Cricetulus griseus: one gene and its partner. The protein of the gene in region 2 purifies or fractionates together with the protein of the main gene of each other region. This does not show direct contact. Links are inferred from orthologs where the notes say so. Each region holds a gene or a part of one and is shown on either strand. Other genes may lie near its edges. The genes, in order: Hars1 and G6pd.

Region 1 (4,417 bases), on a different chromosome or scaffold from region 2:
AATAGTAATCCCTTAATACTATCCAATACCAAGTGTGTTCAACTTTCCCCAATTATCTCACTAATATCTTTTTATGATTATCTTAACCATATTCTAAACATATTATATTTAGAGGACATGTCAATTTAATCACAAACAGCTTTCTCATTTTTCCTTTTTTTCTTCTTTTGTGTTGTCTGGTTTAGATCCCAGGCCTTATAACACTGAGCCACACTCTTATTCCTGTCCCTCTATGTTATTTATTTGTTGAAAAAACTGGATAATTTGTCCTAAAAAGTTTTTCACATTCTGGACTCAGTCAACAATACTACTGATATGCCATTTAACCTGTTCTCTACTTTGCATAGCTCCACCTTAGTCTGAAGGCCTTAATAGATTCAAATTCCCCTAACAAGAACTCATCGACAGTGATGTGTACTTTTTATGGTATCATATCAACAGAAACATGTCTGTTCTTCTGCTTTATTGACACAGAGACATTAAGCCCCCCCCAGCAATTATTGATTATTATTTCTTTAATGCCATGTGTGTGGTTGTCCTTGGAGGCCAGCTGGTATTAGAGAAGTGTGAGCTGCTATATGTGGGTGCTGAGAACCTAGCTCAGGTTTCTAGATGACCACCAACAAGCACCCTTAATACTGAGCCATCTCTCCAGCCCCCATTTCTTTGAGATTTTTAAATTTCTCTTCAACCTTTGAAAAAGAATTATGTGGGATGTGTGGGTGGTAGAACATGCCTGTAATTCTAGCACCTGTTAGGTGGAGACCTGAGGATCAGAATTTCAAAACCAACCTCTGTTATATAGCAAGTCTGAGGCTGGCCAGACTTGCGGTTTTTTTTTTTGTTTGTTTTTTTTTGTTTTTTTTTTTATGCATAGAAAAGCACAGCTTAAATGAATTTGGCTGAAAGAATTAACCTCAACACAGAAGAATTAATCATACCAGCCATCTCCACCCCTCCCCCACCTTTTGGACACAAGGCCTTATTTTCTTACCAGGTAGTCCTCACTGACCTGGAACTTGTACACCGAAGTCTGTCCTGACTTCGGTCCCTAGCACCTAGGCTGGGCAGCTTATAACTGCCTGTAACTCCAGCTGCCCCCTCACACAAGGACACACAGGCCCACATAGCCAGAGCTTCGTAGAGATACCCTGTCTCAATATAATAAAATCTCAGATTGAAGCTATTGAATAAAGTAGAAAATGGGGAGTTTGTGATAGATCAGCCCTTCTTTATTTAAACACAATGATCTGTCTTAACATCACTAAACTCATAGATATCTGCCTGTCTCTGCTTACTGGGTACTGGGATTAAAGAATGTGTATCACCACACATGGCTTCTCTCTTCTTTGAAAATCAACTTAAAATATATTCATTAGATAAATGTTTATTTCTAGGCACTCAGTCTTAGCTTCTGCTAAACAAACTTCATGAACCACTAAAAAGTTGTTGCAGAGGTCAGGAGTGATGGCTTAGCAAGTAAGCACACTCGATGCTCTTCCAGAGGACATTAGTTCAATTTTCGGTACTATGGCTCACAACTGCCTGTAACTCCAGCTTCAGGGAATCTGACATCCTCTCCTGGCTTCTGCAGTTACACACACACACACACACACACACACACACACACACACACACACACTAAGTGAAAATTAAAAATCAGTGCAATGACAGAGCTATCTATATATGAAGTGCCAAGAGAAACCAATGAAGGTGCAGTGTTCTGTTTATAGAACTTACAGAACAGCATCAGAACTGAAGCTCTGAGGCTGAGCTCAGCATCTCTGACCTTATTTGGTTCTATTTGTGCAGGTCTTCTTCTGGTTCCTAGTAAATATCAAAGCTCTTTTCTGCTTCAGGGTTTCCATACTCTACTGAGCCTATTATCCTAAGTCTTTCCCTGGCTATGTCCTACCCACTTGAGAGGTACATCAGTATATCACTTTCTTAAGTGTGGCTTCTCAGATTCCCCAGCTACCCCTTATTTTTCTCAGAGCATCTCTGTAACTTTCTTTTTAAAAGTTTCTTTATTACTTTTATACATGTGGGTGTATGTGTATCTATGTTATGATTATAGGTGAACGTATGTTATGTGAACGTATAGGTGTAGGTGCCTACTGAGGCCAGAGGCATCAGATCCCCCTGGAGTTGGAGTTACAGACAATTGTGAGTCACCTGATGTAGGTGCAGGGACTCAAATTTGAATTCTCTGCACTCCCCTAACTGCCGAGCCATCTCTCCAGCCATAACGTTCTTCATATCACCAGTTATATTTTGTAATTGCATAGCCCTGGGTGGAATTATTGTCTTAAATATCTGTCTCAGTGGGATCAAGCATCACAAAGACAGGCGTCCAGTATGGTATATATTCAATGTACAGTACCACACACACAGACCTACTCAATGTGTATGTAATGAATGCAATGAGTAGCAGTTAGCAGGCTGACTCCGCTGAGCCGCCTTGTTTCTGTCATCACCGAATGACTCAGGTTGAGATCAATCCAGCCCAGTGCCTACACCAACTACTGACTCCTTTGCAATATTACCGATTGTGAACAGGACCTCCCTCTAAGGCCTCTCACAGGAATAGTTTACCTTGGGGGTTTTGAGCACAAACTTCTGTTTGCCTTCATCATGGCCCAGCTGTGCCTTCAGTTTTAGGAGTTTCGCCACCTCCTCCTCGATCTGTGGAGGGAAAAACGCCACTGCATTGTCCATTTGTCACTCCCCTCCCTCCTACTCGACACTCCTCTCTCTTAGGTCTAGCCTCGCTTCTCTCGGGACCCACCCTGGCTACCTTCTCGAACTCAGCCCCTTTCATTCTACCAGCCTAGTCTCTTCATTGACATGCCTGTCCTCCAGCCAGACCACCATCTGTGTTCCTCTGGTTTTGTCCGGCCCCTCTCCTTCCATCTGAGTCGCACCTGGTCAGCGGAGGCTTTCTGCTGTTTGAGGCCCCTCACATGCTCTCCCTGGAGTCGCACCAACTCCTCCAGCGCAGCACGATCTGCCATCCTGGCTGCCAAACGGAACAGCCTGCTGTCTAACCCCGCCTTGGTAGACCTAGCCTACGTTCGGATGACTTCCGGCTATCGAGTCACCGGCTTTCGTGCCTAGAACGTCTCTAGCGAGAGCACAAGCATTTCCGGTTCAGGGAGCGTGAGATATTTGGAGTTCATTTCCACCCCCTTCCCAACCCGGACTAACTCCGATCTCAGGTGTTTTCCAGAGCTGGTGCTAGGCTCTTCAGCTCTCTGTCGCCTTTCTGAGGTTGGGCTGGCCTCGTTCCCAGGCCATTGGCTCCTCTTCAGGAAGCCCGGTGTCCTGCTGCATGATGTCCCACCTGGGGCCCCTGCGCTGCGGCGCCTGGGCTGCGCTGCTCCGCCAGCCCCTGCGACCTCCGCGCGCTCTGTGCATCCGGGCCGCAGGCTGTCACAGCCAGGTGAGCCACCCTGAGCCGGCTCCGCCGATTCCCGGAGGAGCCCCCTGCCTGAAAACTTAGATTTGCAGCCTATATTGTATTGTTACAATTGGTTTTTACTTTTTAAAGGTCTGTTTCTTTTATGTGTATGGGTATTTTGCGTACCTGTATGTGTGCACTGCGTACGCGCCTCGTGTCAGCAGAGATCGGAAGTGGCGTCGGATCTCCTGAGACTGGAGTTACAGGCGGTGGTGAGCCACCATGTGGTTGCTGGTGATGAACCCAGATCCTCTAAAAGATCCGTATCTCCAGCCCTGAAATTGGTTTTTATTGATTAGCCACTTTGTACCTGCACTGAACTAAGAGTTTTGGATGCTTTTGTCATTTTGTTATTGGAGCACTCTCAGAGGTTGCGGGTTTTATCTCCATTTTTACAGTTGAGTAAGCGGAGACCACAGGATTAAATGACTTACAGGGATACAAAGCAACTAAATATTATAATGAGGTTTACTCTCAGTCATCTGAAATTCTTGAACATGTTAGAATTTGAGCCAGATCTATATAGTCTCCCAAGCCATAAATAAACTGAGTTAATACACATCAACAAATTTACCCTAAAATGAATCTCAGAGAAACATTTTCAGCGACAGTTGAATTTTGTAATTAGAATAAAGAGTTATGGACTTGAACTCACACTTCTCTTTAGGGACTCTCCAGAGTATGGAATTACCACCATTTGTATTTCTGGAAGCCTGATTCTTTTTTTTTTTTTTTTTTCCAAGTACATTTATCTATTAATGTGTGTGGGCATTGGTGTGCCATGGCACATTTCTGTTCTTTTCTTCACTTGTAGGGTATGGGGATTGAATTTAGGTGGTCACGATAAGTGTCTCGCACCATTACCCACAAGCCAATTTCACTAACACTGAGTTAGTGGCTGTCACCTCTCTCTGAAAGCAGATGCTTTTTACTGTCATGCTCAACAGGGTTCAGATC
Region 2 (4,510 bases):
CTTCTGTCACATACAGCTGCCTAAAATCCTGTTGGTTTGCTTGCTCCCAAAAGACACTGTCCCCATGAGGCTAGGGACTGAGGCTGTTGTGGATTGGAGGAGACACTTGATTGCTACATTGAATGAATGGAGAACTTGCAGGTATCCTAGATCAGCACTTTGCCTGCCTCATGCATTCAGTAAAGTGTCAGGCAAGAGATATTCTGGGGGCTGTCCCGGCACAGGGTCTATTTGTCTCAGGCCCTCTGAGAAGAACAGAGAAAAAAAAATGATGATCTTCAGCAAACTTCTCTTTCTTCCCCACTCCTTTCTGCTGGAGCTAGCAGTTCACATTTCTATTCTGGAAGCCTCAGTTCTCACTCCAGAGCAGAGGAGAGCAAAGGGGAACCATACCGATTGCAGTGAAATGAAGTTGCTCAATTTCAGGCTAGAACTCACATAATTAGTCTAGGATAAAGCCAGAGGCTGTCTGGCCCTTGTTTGTTAGATGAAGACTACTAATGTTCAGAGAAATGGAGACATTTGTTCCAGGTCACACAACAAGCTATCAATGAGGTATCTAAGAGTTCAGGTCTGCCAGTTGTAAACTATCTTTGATGTTTAGATTATTATTGTTGCAAGCTTATAAAAGCATGGGTGGGGCAGGGGAAATCATCCTTAGTTACTTTCTCTTCCAGGTGGTCATTTAGACTGAAGGACCTAATAGTCAGAGTCCTATATGCTAAGGTTTGTAGTTGATACATGTATGCATGGCTCCTTTAAGGGGACTAGGCTGGTGCTACGGCTGAGGGTAGGACTGCTGTACTGTGTGTTCCAACTGGGTACCTCTGTTGGGTCTTACAGTTATAGGGAGTTAGGGGACAGTGCCTTGGGGGTGTCTCTCCCTTGCCCTTTCAGTGGCTGAGCCCTTCTCCTCTGTTTCTGCATTCCTTTTCTAAGTTTTCTCACTCCACTTTTGCTCTGAAATACAAGGCTGACAAAGAACACGTCTGGCAAAGGGGGTGGCATGTTCTGATTTCCTCTTTTTTGATAGTACCGGGAATTGAACTTAGGGCCTCATGCATAAGAGCCTAGTACTTTACCACTGAGCTACAGCCCTAACCCTTAGTGGGTGGCAATGCTCTGTATGAACAAAGAACCACAGAGTTCACCCAGCACTGAGGGGCCCAAAGTGTGCAAGGTGCTGAGCTAGTAGTGGCTACCCTCTCAATAACACATTAGCTCTAGTGAAGTTCTTGCTCAAGGTTACACAATAAGTTAATAGTGAAGATGGTAACACGAGGGTGATCAGATTCTAGGGTTAAAAGCAAGCAATTGAGTTTACCTTTTCCACAAAACCCTGGTCACTGAACATGCCCTGCTTCCACAAAGCACATGAGAGGGTGCCCCACCTGCCCCAGTCTCACTGTGTACCATCATCACACCACCCCTCTGACTACGCTTCTGTTCTTCAGTTTTTCCTAACAGAGCATATTGGTAGTTGTTTTAGTTAGACAACTGGGAACCAGGTGGAATCAACAGAAATCTGCAGTAGGCTCTGGAAGATGTGGTAAAGAGTAGGTGTTTGCCTCCAGGGAACTTCATGCAATAGAGAGAAAAGAGGCAGAGGCAGGACCTCAGATCCTTTCACTGAAAGCAACTGTAACATTTGTCAAATTACAGATTTGGAAAACATATAGACTGAATAGCACTTCCTGGTTGCACCTCAGTTTTTTTTTTTCCATCCAGGAGGAAGAAGTTCAAGTAGATGGTGCTTTAGAACTTGCATGCTCCAAGTCTGGCCCACATTTAATGGCTGAACATAGATTTCTGAAAAGCCTTGCAAATGAGAAATTTGACAGAAGTACATGATGTACAGCAGGTACTGACTGCTGTGATGATCAGGACACACAGGTGGGAACATATGCCGTGAGTTCAAATTAGAACCTGTGTGGCCCCTTAGCAGTCAGTTGGGAAAGTTCAGGTAAAGAGAGAGAAGTGCCTTGCAAAATGCTACATTTGATTTTTTTACACTCAGGGCCTGAGGGGAGACTCACCGATGCACCCATGATGATAAATATATGTGTATCAGCTTGGTGGAAGGCATCACCCTGGTACAACTCTTCCCTCAGGATGCCACACACCTGGGTCCGGCTCAGGGCCACCTGCTCTGCCATGGTGTTTTCTGGTGGAAGAAAGACTCATTGATAAGGCAGGAGAACAGAAGAGCATTGACAACTTAACCTTATCAGAATCAGAAACTGCTGCTTCTGGGCTCCAGCCATATCCTATGTTGTCTTCTCTGGGGGCTGTACATTACGAAATCTCTATAAGCATTAATGGAATTCAGCTAGGGAATCCACTCTGGGAAAGCGACGCGGTCAGAGCATCGCACTGTGTCTGGGGCCATCGCACTCCAGTCTCTGCCAGAAACGCCACAATGAACTGAGCATCTTTTCATTGTGCAGATGATGGAGTTCAGCCCCAGCTCTCTGCTGGCCAAGCTAAATGATCCCAGAAAGACCCTTCTCTTCTAAAAGTCTAGTCCTCATGGGCCTAATGCGGGGAAGTGCGGGGTACAATGGGATGGGTTAAGACCTCGTAGATCTTTTTCCATATCCAAGCATAACAAATAGCGCTCATCAAAGGGACACGCGGCTCATAAGCGGGAAGCACATCCCTCCACCGGTGTGCTATCAGACCACCCCCTTTACCTGTGTTTAGTTGCTGCTGCCAAACAGGTTTACAGTTCTGGAGTGCACAGCTCGTTTCCGGGGGCTGCGCTTAGCTGGCTCGTTTAACGCAGGAGGGCGGGTGCTTTGACTGAGCTGACCCGCCTCAGGAGAGGCAGGAGAGGAGGAGCTTCGGACTACTCCATCGGTGAGGGAGGGGAGAGTAGCAGAAGTAGGTGCGCACGCATCCCTTGTCAGCCCCACCCTGTTGGCCGTCCCTGCTTTCCTGCTCCGCGATCGTGATGCTTTGCTGGCACAGATACAGCTCCGCACAGTTCTCCTGCGTCCCCATCGCTACCCCAGCCATACTTTATGGTCTGTTTTCCGATGGACCCTCGAGTCCCTGCGCACTCCTGGATGACCCCACTTCCGTTAGCAGCATAGCCACGCCTCCCCTTGCAATCGGTTTGGCGTCCTTTAGCAGCTTCTTCTAGGCTTTTTCCATGGTAGGGACCTGGTGGCAGAGAGCCCAGTGACAGAACCAGACTAAAACTGGGGTGTTTCATTGCGAATGCGACGCCTTGAAAATGGGGTGGGGACAACTGTGGGCGAGGTGACACACGCCTTTAATTCCAAGCACCCGGGAAGCAGAGGCAGGTAGATCTGGATAGCTAGGAGAGAGACCCTGTATCAAAAAAAAAAAAGTGTGTAAGTGTGTGTGTGTGTGAGTGTGTGTGTGATCTTTATCAGTGAAGAGCGTTGCGCTCTTCGGTTAGCCAATGCAGGCTGGCGGTCTGAGGCTTCTCTTCAGAGTGGGATGCAGCACTATTGTGGCTTCGCAGCTCCAGTTAATCTCCTCGACTTCGAGTCTGTGTTTTACTTCCGGATCCCACACTTACGACACCGGAAGCCGGAAGCAGGGGTTTCCACAGCCGAGAAGGGAAGGGTGACCGCCCAACCAGGACTTTCTGAGAGCTCCGATTCAATCTGAGAGGTCGGGTTCCGCTGCTCAGGCCCTCTTCACTTCTGGCCGACTCTGCTGACAGGTGTAGTCCTCTTCTCCAAAGATAGGGCTCCATCGGTGGCCATTATGCAGCTTCCGAGGCTCCTGAGCCCCCTTCCCCCCACCTTGGGCCCAGTTTGTTCTGTTGCATGCTTTCGAATGCTTTTTAGAGCATTTATTCAAGAAGTGCAGATTCGCGACCCAGCTTACTTGGACTGATTTCTGTCCTTCCCTCTGCTTATCTGTCGCCTAAGGGCTTGGCCCCAAGTGCTAGAACTCTTAGTTCACAGACATTTTTCTGTTGATGAAACTTTGTTTTCTGAAACAGCATCTCGAAATGTAGGCCAGGCAGACCACGAGCACAAGATTCTCCTGCCTCAGCTTTTTCAAGTGTACCGACTTTGCCTTTGTTTTTGAAGGGTTCACGATAAAAGGGAGAAACAGTCAAAGTTATCTTTGATGTAACTGGTCCCAGTGGGGTCAATTGATTGTAAAAGGCAAGGGAAGAAAGCATGGTGATCTGTAAAGAGATTATTGCAGTAATCCATGTGAAGGATGATAGTGCTGTCAGCCTTTTATTACTGAAAACTTTAAAAATGTACAAAAGTAGAAATATTAACATAGTAAGTTCCATGTACACATTTCTTAGTTGTCTCTATCAACTCATAGCTAACTTTAATTCACAGCCCTTACAGTACTCTACCATGATTTTTTTTCCTCTTTAGAAAAGATGTTATTTTATGTGTGTGGGTGTTTTGGCTGTGAGTATGTATGTGTACTACATGCTTGCCTGTTGCTAAAGGAATTCAGGAGAAGGTGTGAGGTCCCCTTGGATTGGAGTTGCAGATGTTTGTGA

The links.
Region 1: the proteins of G6pd (region 2) and Hars1 fractionate together in Homo sapiens (co-fractionation; 3 studies listed by BioGRID). This does not show direct contact. The link is inferred for Cricetulus griseus from reciprocal best matches to the Homo sapiens genes G6PD and HARS1.

Annotation. Positions count from the first base shown.
Region 1 is NC_048595.1:200,746,625-200,751,041, reverse strand, and holds the start of Hars1 (histidine--tRNA ligase, cytoplasmic), read right to left. Parts: upstream 3,086-4,417; 5' UTR 3,015-3,085; coding exon 2,925-3,014; intron 2,686-2,924; coding exon 2,596-2,685; intron 1-2,595. Other genes in the region: Hars2 (histidine--tRNA ligase, mitochondrial), read left to right, coding at 3,332-3,442. UniProt on the Homo sapiens protein: Catalyzes the ATP-dependent ligation of histidine to the 3'-end of its cognate tRNA, via the formation of an aminoacyl-adenylate intermediate (His-AMP). Plays a role in axon guidance.
Region 2 is NC_048604.1:1,291,810-1,296,319, reverse strand, and holds the start of G6pd (glucose-6-phosphate 1-dehydrogenase), read right to left. Parts: upstream 2,821-4,510; 5' UTR 2,694-2,820; intron 2,165-2,693; 5' UTR 2,157-2,164; coding exon 2,037-2,156; intron 1-2,036. Other genes in the region: Ikbkg (NF-kappa-B essential modulator), read left to right, coding at 3,024-3,026. UniProt on the Homo sapiens protein: Catalyzes the rate-limiting step of the oxidative pentose-phosphate pathway, which represents a route for the dissimilation of carbohydrates besides glycolysis.